3 linked regions of the Callithrix jacchus genome follow. The protein of the gene in region 1 interacts with the protein of each later gene in a biochemical or structural test. Links are inferred from orthologs where the notes say so. Each region holds a gene or a part of one and is shown on either strand. Other genes may lie near its edges. The genes, in order: MYO6, TAX1BP1 and DAB2.

What was found.
Region 2: the proteins of MYO6 (region 1) and TAX1BP1 form a complex in vitro, tested with the Homo sapiens proteins (5 studies listed by BioGRID, with this or other methods). The link is inferred for Callithrix jacchus from reciprocal best matches to the Homo sapiens genes MYO6 and TAX1BP1.
Region 3: the proteins of MYO6 (region 1) and DAB2 form a complex in vitro, tested with the Homo sapiens proteins (7 studies listed by BioGRID). The link is inferred for Callithrix jacchus from reciprocal best matches to the Homo sapiens genes MYO6 and DAB2.

The regions. Positions count from the first base shown.
Region 1 is NC_133505.1:80,986,438-80,990,664, reverse strand, and holds the start of MYO6 (unconventional myosin-VI), read right to left. Parts: upstream 2,855-4,227; 5' UTR 2,657-2,854; intron 1-2,656. UniProt on the Homo sapiens protein: Myosins are actin-based motor molecules with ATPase activity. Unconventional myosins serve in intracellular movements. Myosin 6 is a reverse-direction motor protein that moves towards the minus-end of actin filaments.
Region 2 is NC_133512.1:30,307,131-30,310,781, forward strand, and holds part of TAX1BP1 (tax1-binding protein 1), read right to left. Parts: intron 2,933-3,651; coding exon 2,832-2,932; intron 1-2,831.
Region 3 is NC_133503.1:166,097,206-166,101,290, reverse strand, and holds the start of DAB2 (disabled homolog 2), read right to left. Parts: upstream 2,833-4,085; 5' UTR 2,730-2,832; intron 1-2,729. UniProt on the Homo sapiens protein: Adapter protein that functions as a clathrin-associated sorting protein (CLASP) required for clathrin-mediated endocytosis of selected cargo proteins.

The sequences.
Region 1 (4,227 bases):
ATACTAGTAAAGGGCCAGTTCATAAATCATTATGAAATATCTCATTATGGGTATCATAATTAAACTCCGATTGCAATCCCAGCACTTTGGGAGGCCAAGGCGGACAGATCACTTGAGCTCAGGAGTTCGAGAACAGCCTGGCCAACATGGTGAAACCCCATTTCTACTAATAATATAAAAATTAGCCAGGCGTGGTGGCGGCCACCAGTAATCTCAGCTACCTGGGAGGCCGACGAAGGAGAATCCCTTGAACCCAGGAGGTGGAGGTTTCAATGACCGGAGATCATGACACTACACAGCCTGGGTGACAGGGCAAGACTCCATCTCAGGGAAAAAAAAAAAAATGAATAAATAAACTCTATGAGATTTATTTAAGTTATAACACTTTTCAATATTTTATTTTTAGATATTTTAATATATAAAAATGAAAACTGTACAGAAGTTAAATTCTTCTTAAAACTGACATTTTACATGTCAAAAACGGAGCCTCAACTGTCAACAAAGTTAAAATGGGTTAATTTTTAAAAAATGTTTGGATGTATATATCTATTCAAACCTCACATGGTCAAAATCTTTGAAACTTTCTAAAAAACTTTCTAAAGAAAGCTACATTTTGGAAGCCAGATACAGCCCAATTGTCTAAACAATGGGCTACATGATACACCACAGACTCCAGGCAAAGTCACAACAGGATGAGAAAAGAGCCTTCAGCCTCTCGGATTTCCTGGTCACTGTTATTTTAAAACTTGATCACGTAAACATAAATAGGAAAAAAATCCATTTCAGATAAGCTCTACTGGTTATGATTTACAATCTTTTGTTTTTAATACAATATTTAATTGCATTAATTTACATTAAATATTATAATTGTTCATTACATTTTTCTTGCTCATGTTTCTGGGCACTAACCAAGAATATATATGTATATCATATATAGTTTTATATATTATACAGTTTTTAACATATTTCCTTAAATGTCATTCATACTTCTGTTACTGCCATTTACAATAGTTTCTGAAAACAATAATGTAACTTACAAAGATGGAGAATGATAAACAGCATGTCACACACAAAAAATGCAAAAGTAATGGGCAAATGTACATACGACTACAATGACTTGTTTACCGATGTGGATGTAATTCCTGCCTAACGTAAAAATACTCAAAACGAGCTGGATATATAAAAGTCAGCGAGCTATTGTGAAAGGCTGCATGGTTTCAAGCTCTAGTTATAGTCCACTTGGTAACATTTGTGGCGGTTTCTACAATTAAAGGCAAAAGACACAGTTAAGTTTTTTGTTTTTTTTTTTACGTGCCGTGACTCCGATCAGAGGTAATTTTTTCACTAAACATTCTCCAGTTGGAAAACCACAACCTGAGACATCTAGGAAGCTCAGTTAATTTGTACAGGAAATGCTGCTTTGCCGCCAACCTTTGTACCATGACCACTACAAGTCCAAGTTCAAGATTCATGTTTTATGTTGTGAAGATAAGTTTCAGCTAAATCTTAAGAATGTTAATTTCTAGGGCAGGTGCGGTAGCTCATGCCTAATCCCAGCACACTGGGAGATTGAGGTGGGTGGATCACCTGAGGTCAGGAGTTCGAGACCAGCCTGGCCAACATGGCAAAACCCCATCTCTACTAAAAATACAAAAACTAGCTGGGCGGTAGTGCACGCCTGTAAGCCCAGCCGCTGACGCAGTAGAATCACTTGAACCTGGGAGGTGGAGGTTGCAGTGAGCCGACAGAGTGAGACTCCGTCTCAAAAAAGGAACCTTAATTTTAAAACTCTCAAATTCTGACTAGATAGACTGCATCTATACCACCAGAGCATTAAAAAAAAAAAAAAAAAAAAAAATGAGACTTACTTAGCCCGTACAGTTAGTCTATTAAGTTAGGGCAGTTCTTCTCGTTTTCTCACTAATACTCATAAATTAGGAGTTAAGCATCTTTCCACGGTATCACTTTATGCTAGATAAGATGTAATGAATTTTTTGAAACTGTATGGAAATACTTCTAAACTCAGATGTTCTAGGGATACCCCATCAAATTATGTCCTATTTAAAATTAAAATACCAGAGTTTGAGCATTTTAATCGTTTTAGGGAGTTTTTGGAAATTAACAGAAGAAAGTTCTTGTTCAGTAGCATACCTGTAAATTAACATACTCAAGGTACTGAGAGACAAAGAATAAAGCTTTACAAAGTCTCAATCTGGTCTTCTACATGATTAGACTATTAATGGTATCATTTGATCTTCACATCTCAGAACAAACTGCGCTCTCCCTGCACTGTATTTTAAGCGTGTTTACAAAAGAGAAAATAAAACTATCACAAAGTGTCCAAGTCCGAGTTGGACACCTGAGTGCTCTGCTTCTACCTGGGAGCCAGGGAAGAAACACAAAGGGACCTTGGTGATTGATAACCCGTGAAAGGAGGCTAAACGTCTTTCTGTGGAAACAAGAACCACCCCCGGCCCCACCGCGCGCCGCCGCCGCCCGGGGCCGACCCATCACCTGCTTCTCCCACCCGCGTCGTCCGGCGGTGAACCGACGCGTCGGCCCGGGAGCTGCCCGAGGAGGCCCAAGAGCAAGGCCGGGCCGGGAACAGCGAGACCCCGGAGCCTACGCCCCGCAGCGGGGGCTCCGGGACACTCACCGGTGCCGGCGTGAAGGCAGGTGCGCGGCGGCAGAGGTACTCGTGCAGCTCAGGCTGAAGGGCGCGGTGGGAAGTGATGAGGGCGAGAGATGAGGGCGAGCGAAGAGGCCGACGACGCGGACGCGCTGCAGGACGGGGCGGCGACAGCGGCCCGGCTGCGGCTGGCTTCCTGCTCGGACAGATCCCGAGTCGGTCTCCGCCCGCCGGCCGGCGCCCAGCCGAGTCCCCGGCACCGCGGCGTGCACGTCACGGCTACGGAGCGCCCGAGGGGGCGGGGGCGCCGGGGCCGCGGTGCGGCCGGCCCCCGGGAGCGCGCCGGGAGGGGGCGCGCGTTCTGGGAGCGAGGGCGCCGTACCCCCGGGGTCGCCCCGCCCGCGGCGCCGAGCCTCTGGGGCGGGGTGGGCGCCCTGCTGCGCAGGGAGGGGCTGCCCTGGACAAGCCGGGAGTTCTGGTTCCTCGCACAGAGAAACGGCCTCCTTCGTCGCGGTAGCTGTTTCCAGTCCCAGTGAGGCAGGTCCTCTCCGGCTGATGCCGGGACTGTGCAGGCTGCCAACAGCAAGAATCAGTTCAAGCAGGGAGAAAGTTGTTCGGAGAGGGGGCGAGGAGTCCGGGGCTCCGCGCTGGGGACCCAGGGACCAGGTGGCCGCGCCCGGGCTGCAGCGAGGCTGTGTGGCGGCTACCTCGGCTCCGGATCTGGCCGGCTTGGGCTGGGCTGCCCTGCATAGGGAGGAACGTTCCTGCACAACTAAGTTCCAGTCGGCCTTTGGAGGAGGGAGGGCTTGAGATGTGAATTTCGCACCCCTTTGCTTCTCCCCACTCCCACCCTCGCCGCTGCATTTACTTTTTAGAGTCCCTACCTTCTCAGTCGTTTAAATGTTACTGTTTTTATACGTGACATATCTGTGAATCACTTTTTAAAATATGAAGTACCTATGCAAATTTGAATTATATGGTGAAAACACATCATCTTTACGATGAAAACAGCTTCTGTTAAGGCAACGAAGTGATAATGGACTATAATGCTAAATGTATCCGGGGAAAAAAGATAGCCTACTTACACATGAGAGTTGCACGTTTTTCTGCAACATTTATATGTAGCGACTTGGAAACTTCTGGAATTCTGAAGATTCCGAAGAGAATTTCTGATACTTAAAGGCTTCACGGTTTTCTTGGAGAAACAAAACAAAACAAAACAAAAAAAAAAAAAAAAACTGAGGTCTCGCAAGATGTTTTAGCTTTCAACTAAAACAAAATATTAAGAATAAAATAGGGGCTGGGCATGGTGGCTCACGCCTGTAATCCCAGCATTTTGGGAGGCTGAGGCGGCCGGATCACGAGGTCAGGAGTTTGGGACCAGCCTGGCTAGCATGGCGAAACTCCATTTTTAATTAAAAATATATATATACAAAAAATTAGCTGGGAATGGTGGCCCATGCCTGTAATCCCAGCTACTTGGGAGGCCGAGGCAGGAGAATCGCTTGAACCCGGGAAATGGAGGTTGCAGTGAGCTAAGTTCGTGCCACCGCATTCCAGCCTGGGTGGTGACAGACTGACTAGACTCTGTCTCAAAA
Region 2 (3,651 bases), on another chromosome or scaffold:
CGTTCCTTGGAAAGTAAAAAGCACAAAACAGAAAAAAACTGATAAACTGTACTATATCAAAATTAGAATTTTGCTTTTCTAAAAACATCATTAAGGAAATGAAAAGGCAAGCTAGAGACTTGTAGAAAATATTAACCTTACATATATCAGACAAAAGACATATCCTGAATAAGAAACAAACTCCAGGTGAACAACCCAATGTTTAAACTACCAAAAAGATTTGACCACTCACACAAAAGATAAAGAGCAAATAAGCATAAGAAAAGATGCTCAACATCAAGTCATTATGGATATGCACATTAAAACCACAATGAGCTATCAGAACACACACATTAGGGCTGGCTATGTAAAATGGTACAGATACCTTACAAAACAGTTTGGTGACTTCTTTTCTGGTTTTCTTCTTTTTTATTGGGGGGGGGGGGGGACAGAGTCTCATTCTGTCACCCAGGCTGAGTACAGTGGCGTGATCTTGGCTCACTGCATCCTCCACCTCCCGGGTTCAAGTGATTCTCCTGCCTCAGCCTCCAGTGTAGATGAGATTACAGGCATGCGCCACCACACCGGGCTAATTTTTGTATTTTTAGTAGAGAAGGGGTTTCATCAGGCTGGTCACAAACTCCTGACCTCAAGTGATCCTCCCACCTCGGCCTCCCAAAGTGCTGGGATTACAGGTTTGAGCCACTGCACCCAGCTGGTAATTTCTTATAAATATTCACCTACCATATCACCCACACAATTCACTCCCAGATATTTACCCAAGAAAAATAAAAAAACTGTATATCCATAAAAAACTCGTAAACACATGTTCATAAGTAGATTTGTACCAGCCAAAAAACAACCCCAAATGCCCATTGACTGGTGAATGAACAAATGATATAATAAAAAAGGAATAAATATAAGCAATAATATGTTAAATCTCAGAATAATCATGCTAAAGGAGGGCAGAAAAAAATACATATTACATGACTCCATTTTATAAAGTTGTATAAAAGGTAGGCTAGTTGATAGTGGCAGAAAGCAGGCCAATGATTTCCTGGAGATAAGGATAACAAAAGACTTGTGTTGCAAACAGGTACAAAAAAAATTGTGAGCCAGCCAAGGTGGCTCACATCTGTAATCCCAGCACTTTGGGAGATTGAAGCGGGCAGATTAGGAGGTCAGGAGTTCGAGACCTGCCTGGCTAACATGATGAAACCCCGTCTCTATTTAAAAAATACAAAAATCAGCTGGGAGTGGTGGGGCTCGCCTGTAGTCCCAACTGCTCAGGAGGCTGAGGCAGGAGAATCACTGGAACTCGGGAGGGAAAGGTTCTAGTAAGCCGAGATCACACCACTGTACTCCAGCCTGGAAGACAGAACAAGACTCCGTCTCAAAAAAAAAAAAAAAAAAAAAAAAAAAATGGGAGGGTGATGGCATTGTGTTAATAGTGTCACAACTGTGTATGTCAAAACTGATCCAACTGTATACTTCAAGTATGTCCAATTCAATGAATTTCAATTATACCTCAACACAGTTGTTAAAAAAAAAAAAAGCACTTTGAGGAAGGTTTTTGCTTGAACATTATTCTACCTTCCTTACAATACTATTTCAATATAAAAATCTTTAAATATTCATGCAGAATTGTTTCATCTTTAATGAAAATGTAGTTCAGTCTTACAACTACCCTGAACTCAAGAGTAAAACTGTTCTAATCAACCCTTCTACAGGTTTCTCTCAAGAAAAAAAAAAAAGTTCACTTTAAACTTTGATTAAAACGTCTTGCTATTTATAAGTAACATAAAATATTTTAATTACTAAAATTAATTATAGTAACATTAAGCTAATGTGTAAATTTTATTCTATAGCTCTAAAAAATGCCCCCCCAATGCACATAAAAACACACAAAATAAAAGCCCATTAATAAAACAAAAATGACATATGCAAACAAAAAACATTTTTTCCTCTCTAGTCCAAATTGATATAAATGAGAAGCATCTTCCCTTTTCCTTTAAATATTCCAGTAGTGAACACTACACCAAGAAGGCTGCAAACTAGAAAAGTCAGAATGATGCTGTTTAAAATAATCAAAATAAACAACACCATAAGAGACAATAACTAATTTGGTTAACATTCCCTTTTCCACTATGCAATTCTAGTCACTTTAAGATGTAAAAATCTTTGCTATTATAATAGTAATTTATTTTATATATCATTATTTTTGGAGACAGAGTCTCACTCTGTTGCCTAGGCTGCAGTGCAATGTGCAATCTCAGCTCACTGCAACCCACATCTCCCGGGTTCAAGTGATTCTCCTGCCTCAGGAAACTAGCTGAGACCACAGGCAAGCTCCACCAAGCCCGGCTAATTTTTAGTACAGACAGGGTTTCACCACGTGGCCAGACTGATCTCGAACTCCTGGCCTTAAGCAATCCACCCATGACGACCTCCCAAAATGCTGGGACTACAGGCATGAGCCACCATACCTGGGCTGTAAGAGTAAATTTTAAAAGAACACTTCTCTTTATGAAGTTCAAATATTTTTCACTAATCTTTGTAAGATGACAGATAATAATCTCTAACCTCAGTTAACTATTTGCCCATTACCCAAACAAGAACATTTTATTAGGTGAAAAGAAAACAATGACTTTAGGTCTCATGATTTACACACATGCCAATGTGAACAGGTACACAAAACACCCACCTCATCATCCTGAAAGCCAAAGTGAAACTAAATAACAGTATCTGGGGATGGAAAGGAACTCAAAGATACCAATCAATCAAAACAATAAAGGTAAGCTAAGTCATTTACATTTGATAAATCTCTTTCATTTACAAGGGAGTTAACTTACCTGTAAGAGTTGTTTACATTTATTATACTTTTCTGTTTTGTCAGCAATTTCTTTGGTCATTTCACAGACTTGCCCCTTTGTTATTATGTCAAAATCTGTCTCTGGTATAAGAAGACAGAAAACAAGACTGTTACAAAGTATTTTGCCCCCGTTATCTGCCTGTTCAGATTAACTTAAAGGTCAGTATATTGCGAAATATAATAAATGGAATACTGGAGGACACAAATATCTATTCATATCCTAGATATACAAAGAAGGATATATAAACTCTAGCTGAGAATTTTTACATGTGTGTTTGGCCAGAACCAAGTTCATATTCAATAATGAAAGATTATTCTTTGATTTTTTTTTAATTTGCTAAAAAGAGTTCCGAAATAGAAAAAAAAAAAATTTGTTCTCCTTATACAACTGAATAGACAGGATAAGTAGGAAAACCATACTCTGAGAATTCTCTCTCCCCTCTCTAAAAGCCAGGGTCTCACTATGCTGCCCAGGCTGGCATCAAACTCTTGGGAGCAAGGATCCTCTTGCCACAGATTCCAGAGTATCTAGTAGTACAGGCATATGATACCACACCCAGTCAAGAACACATTTTAAATCATTCTTCTAGTCCTTCATTCACTAGGTCTTTATTAAGTAAATACCCTATGACACCATTTTAGGTACTACAGAGGATACATGAAAATAGAAGGCTCGATTCTGTCCTACAGGGGACAAACCTAATTAAGTATTTATTAGTCTAAGATGTTTACATTTAAAAAGACTTAAAACATCAATTACTCTACACACTAAACAAGAAAATATACTTTCTCTAGTATTT
Region 3 (4,085 bases), on another chromosome or scaffold:
ATTAGCTGGGCACGGTGGCGCGTGCCTGTAATCCCAGCTACTCAGGAGGCTGAGGCAGGAGAATTGCCTGAACCCAGGGGGCGGAGGTTGTGGTGAGCTGAGATCGCGCCATTGCACTCCAGCCTGGGTAACAAGAGCGAAACTCCGTCTCAAAAAAAAAAAAAAAAAAAAAAATGGTATTCATTTAGTAATTTTCCAAGTTCGTGTACATCATAACTAGAAATAGGAGCTGGGCTATTCATGAGATCAATAATAACACATTTCTTATGGAGATCTTAGGTTAGATCATGGGGTTGGGATGGGGAGAAGTGCCTACTGCTATATTTTTTTCTGAAGAGGTGACTGTAATACTTTTAAAATAAATGCCTGATTCAGTCTTATAATTGTGTTTTTGCTTCCTTAGTCAACATTCTTCTTCAAGAATAACTTTACTGAAATGGGATGACATGTTTTTAAAAAATTGTGGAATGCTTTTGGTCACAAGTAAATGTTTCTAAAATCAAAAAATGCTAGAAAAGATTTAATTCCTAAAAATTTAAATTAAGTTTGAAATTAATAAAAACACTAAAAATAAAATTGCAGAGTTCCTCCTTTTCCTTCAAGTCACCAACTTCCCTTAGTAGTAGTAAGTACACTGAGTCCATGCTATTTATAACACAGTTAGCATGGAGATCTCAGACCCATAGACGCAGTTTAGCATACCATTCTCTCATTTTTAGTTGAGAAACAATAGATTGAGGAATACCTGGAGGTTTCTCTCAGGATTATAACATCAGAGGACCAAAGGATCCTTAACAAAATAATCAAATCCATTCCCTTTGCCTCCAAGGTATGTGTTGAATTATCAAGCTAAAGCAGGATTACTTGTAAATCTACATTTGCTGAGGGCTCTTGGGGAAGGAGATTGTAATGACCCCATTTGAATAGCATTTACTGTTCATGAATGTTTACTGATATTTATGCCACATCCTTCACACTACAATTTAAGCCTGTTTGAGCTCACTCCTTCCTGACCTCCCATAATATCCTCAATTTTGTATTGCCCTTTAATTTTTTCATACACTAAAGTTCTGTGTTTATAACAAGGTCATCTATAAGAATTACATGCTTTACATTGCTTCAGTTCTTCCTGGAGTACAGGTTGAGAGATTTCTCAACTAGCTGATAGACACCTTTTATAAATTTAGAAGTTTTGCAAGAACATAGCAACCAGTTAAAAATATCAGATTTTATTCCACTTCAGGTTTGTCCATTGCATTGGGTGCTAAAAGACTTCTGTAGTTTCCTAATTCTTAGCAAGATTTTTTTCCCCTCACATAGTTAGATAGGTTAAGCCTGAATGGTAATGTAGTATTCTTTCATGCTCTTATTGCCTTTCATATAAATGCATATGAGTAAATATAGATAGAAATATTCAAATAAGTAGTCAAATGATAATAAAAATCTAAATGTTAGAATCAATTTTGAATGGAGAATTTTAATTAGCTAGTGAGTGATGTACATATATAATCTACATGATATGAATACACAAAGAGATTAAACAATAATCATAATAGACCAACATTTATTGAGTTATTGTTATGTGCCAAGCACTGTTTTAATTCTCTTTATATATAAAAACTTAGTGAAGCTTCATGACAACTCTGGGTTGCTACTATTAATATCTCATTCTAAAGAAAAAGGAAAGCTGATACACAGAAATGTCAATTGCACAAGGGCTCGCAGTTGGCAGGTTGTAACTGATGTTACAGTCTAAGAACCTGGGCCTCTCCCCACTAAACTCCAGTTTCTGTGGTGATAGGAAGGGGACTTTAATATTTAATAGGAGGTGTCCAGGAAGTGGCACATGATGGTTCTGGTTTCAGTTCTCACTACAAGAAGAAGTGACTTGCTTGCCACAGCAGACAGAAGACCACTGTTCTCCCAAAGGAAATGCAGCTGCTAGGGAGAAGGCACATATAGACACAGTAAAGCTACGGTCAGCATTTGAGGGGGTTATTGGAGGGAAGCTGAAATTTAGGAAAAACTCAATCTAGAAAGGTGATGCTTTGAGCTTGTAGTGGCAGGAGCAGGGACCTAGACTTAGAAATAAAGACCCTGAAGCAAGACATGGACATTCCAGCCCAACTAGGCATCATAGTACGCCCATCATTATGCCCACGTTGGAAGAGCACCAGACAGGATCAGACCCGTTTCCATAGCTCTTGGCCACAGAGATCAAGTGTTATGATTAGTTGCTTCGTTAGTAGAACACACTGAGGATCTCTTGTAGATCATTGTTTATAACTAGAAAAATAAATTGCATGCAATTCTTGAGAGTGTGGATGGAATCATTATTAGTAAAACCCTATCATCATCTTCGGAAAGTTCCAAGTCAAAAGAATCCTGCTATGTTTGGATAAATATGAGTTTTTGAATAAAAGAGTAAGGTGAACACACACTCTGATTCCAAAGTTCTTTAATATTTATAAAATTTAGGTGCTACCTTCTGCAGATACATATATATACGAGCTACTATTATCATATTACTTGGCCGATAAATAAATATACATGTACATATACAAATGCAAGTATTTACATATGCAGTCTTCTAATACATTCCTATTCCAGTCTCCTCAACTGATTGTCAAAATCTCCCCATGATCCTGCCCTAACAGACTGAATCAATATTATTTTCCAATTTTGTATTACTTTCTGCAGACAGAAAATTATGCCATGTCCCTTCTTACCTCCAAGCTTGTTGTTCTTGTTGCTTCTGCAGGGAACGACCTTTCCACTTTTCTAGACGTAGCCAAATCCAGTCAATGACTCTTCAAGGCCAAAATCAAGTGCAGTTTCCTCAGATATTCTCCACCCAACCCCGATTATTCTCATCTCCATCCTCCCTTGGTACTTCCTGCTCAAGACACTTTGGCAGTCAATCACATGCTGCCCTGAACATTGTCATGTTTCATGTATGCATGCATTGCCTAACAAATCACTTGTCTATTTCTTGGGGCTAGGAACTGACTCTTAAACTTTTTGCCTTTGCACAACTTCATGAGGATAATGTCAGACATATAGCTGACTCTCAATGCATAACTGTTTGCAACAAAATGACTTGAAAGCACTTAATTGTTTTACTTCAGACTTACTGACGTCAATAACTACATTATTTTTGAAGGACGTATTTTTCCCCTTGGGTTCAGAAAGACCTGTAGGGCACAGTGTACATCACAGTCAGGGCTCCCTTTAAATCTACTGCATGTTCCGTGAGAGCAATTGAGTGTATCCTCTTGTCTCCACATGCTTTTTAACCTGGGTAATTTATATATTTCTACTGTTGGACAAAAAATCATTTCATTGGAAGGAAAATGTCCTATTATGATAGAGACACACAATTATTTGAGTTTAAACACACTTTGATGATAGTCCTCCAACGATATTTTCTCACATGGAGGTGATGCCTGTATCAGGTTAAGTCCTCTGTGTCCAGAAATTGCTACAATTCTGCTGTATTGGCATTGGCATTTAGGCAGGCAGCTGCTGAATGGCATAATGAGACTTGGTGAACATAAAATGCATGGTTTACTTAATGAGTTGAACTCAATAATCACATAGCATAAGAATATATCGCAGCCTCTATCATTCCAATGTATCTTAAAAACTACAATACTTTTGGATCCATCCACTGTGAAGTTACCTAAACCCTCCAACTTAGTGCTGTCAGTCTTGACTACCTCCTGGAATGATGGCTTCAGTGATATTAATAACACTAGCAGTTAGCATCCTACATGCCCATAGTTATCTCCATTACTCTTCACAACACCCCTGTGAAGAAGGCACTCTATTACTGTCTGTTAGAAATGAGGAAATTGAGGCCTAATGAAGTTAAGTGGCTCAGTCTAGGTCAAGGGTACACAGTAAGTGGTGGAACCAGGGTTTAGTGCTCCCTGCCTCCTCAAGGCAGACTAAATCCTTTCTATGCTCAGCATCAGCATCACCTGGCAGCTTGTTAGAGACGCAGAATTTCAAGCCCTGCCAGGACCTACTGAACCACAATGTGCATTTGGACAGTTTCCCCAGGTGATTCATAAGCATATTAA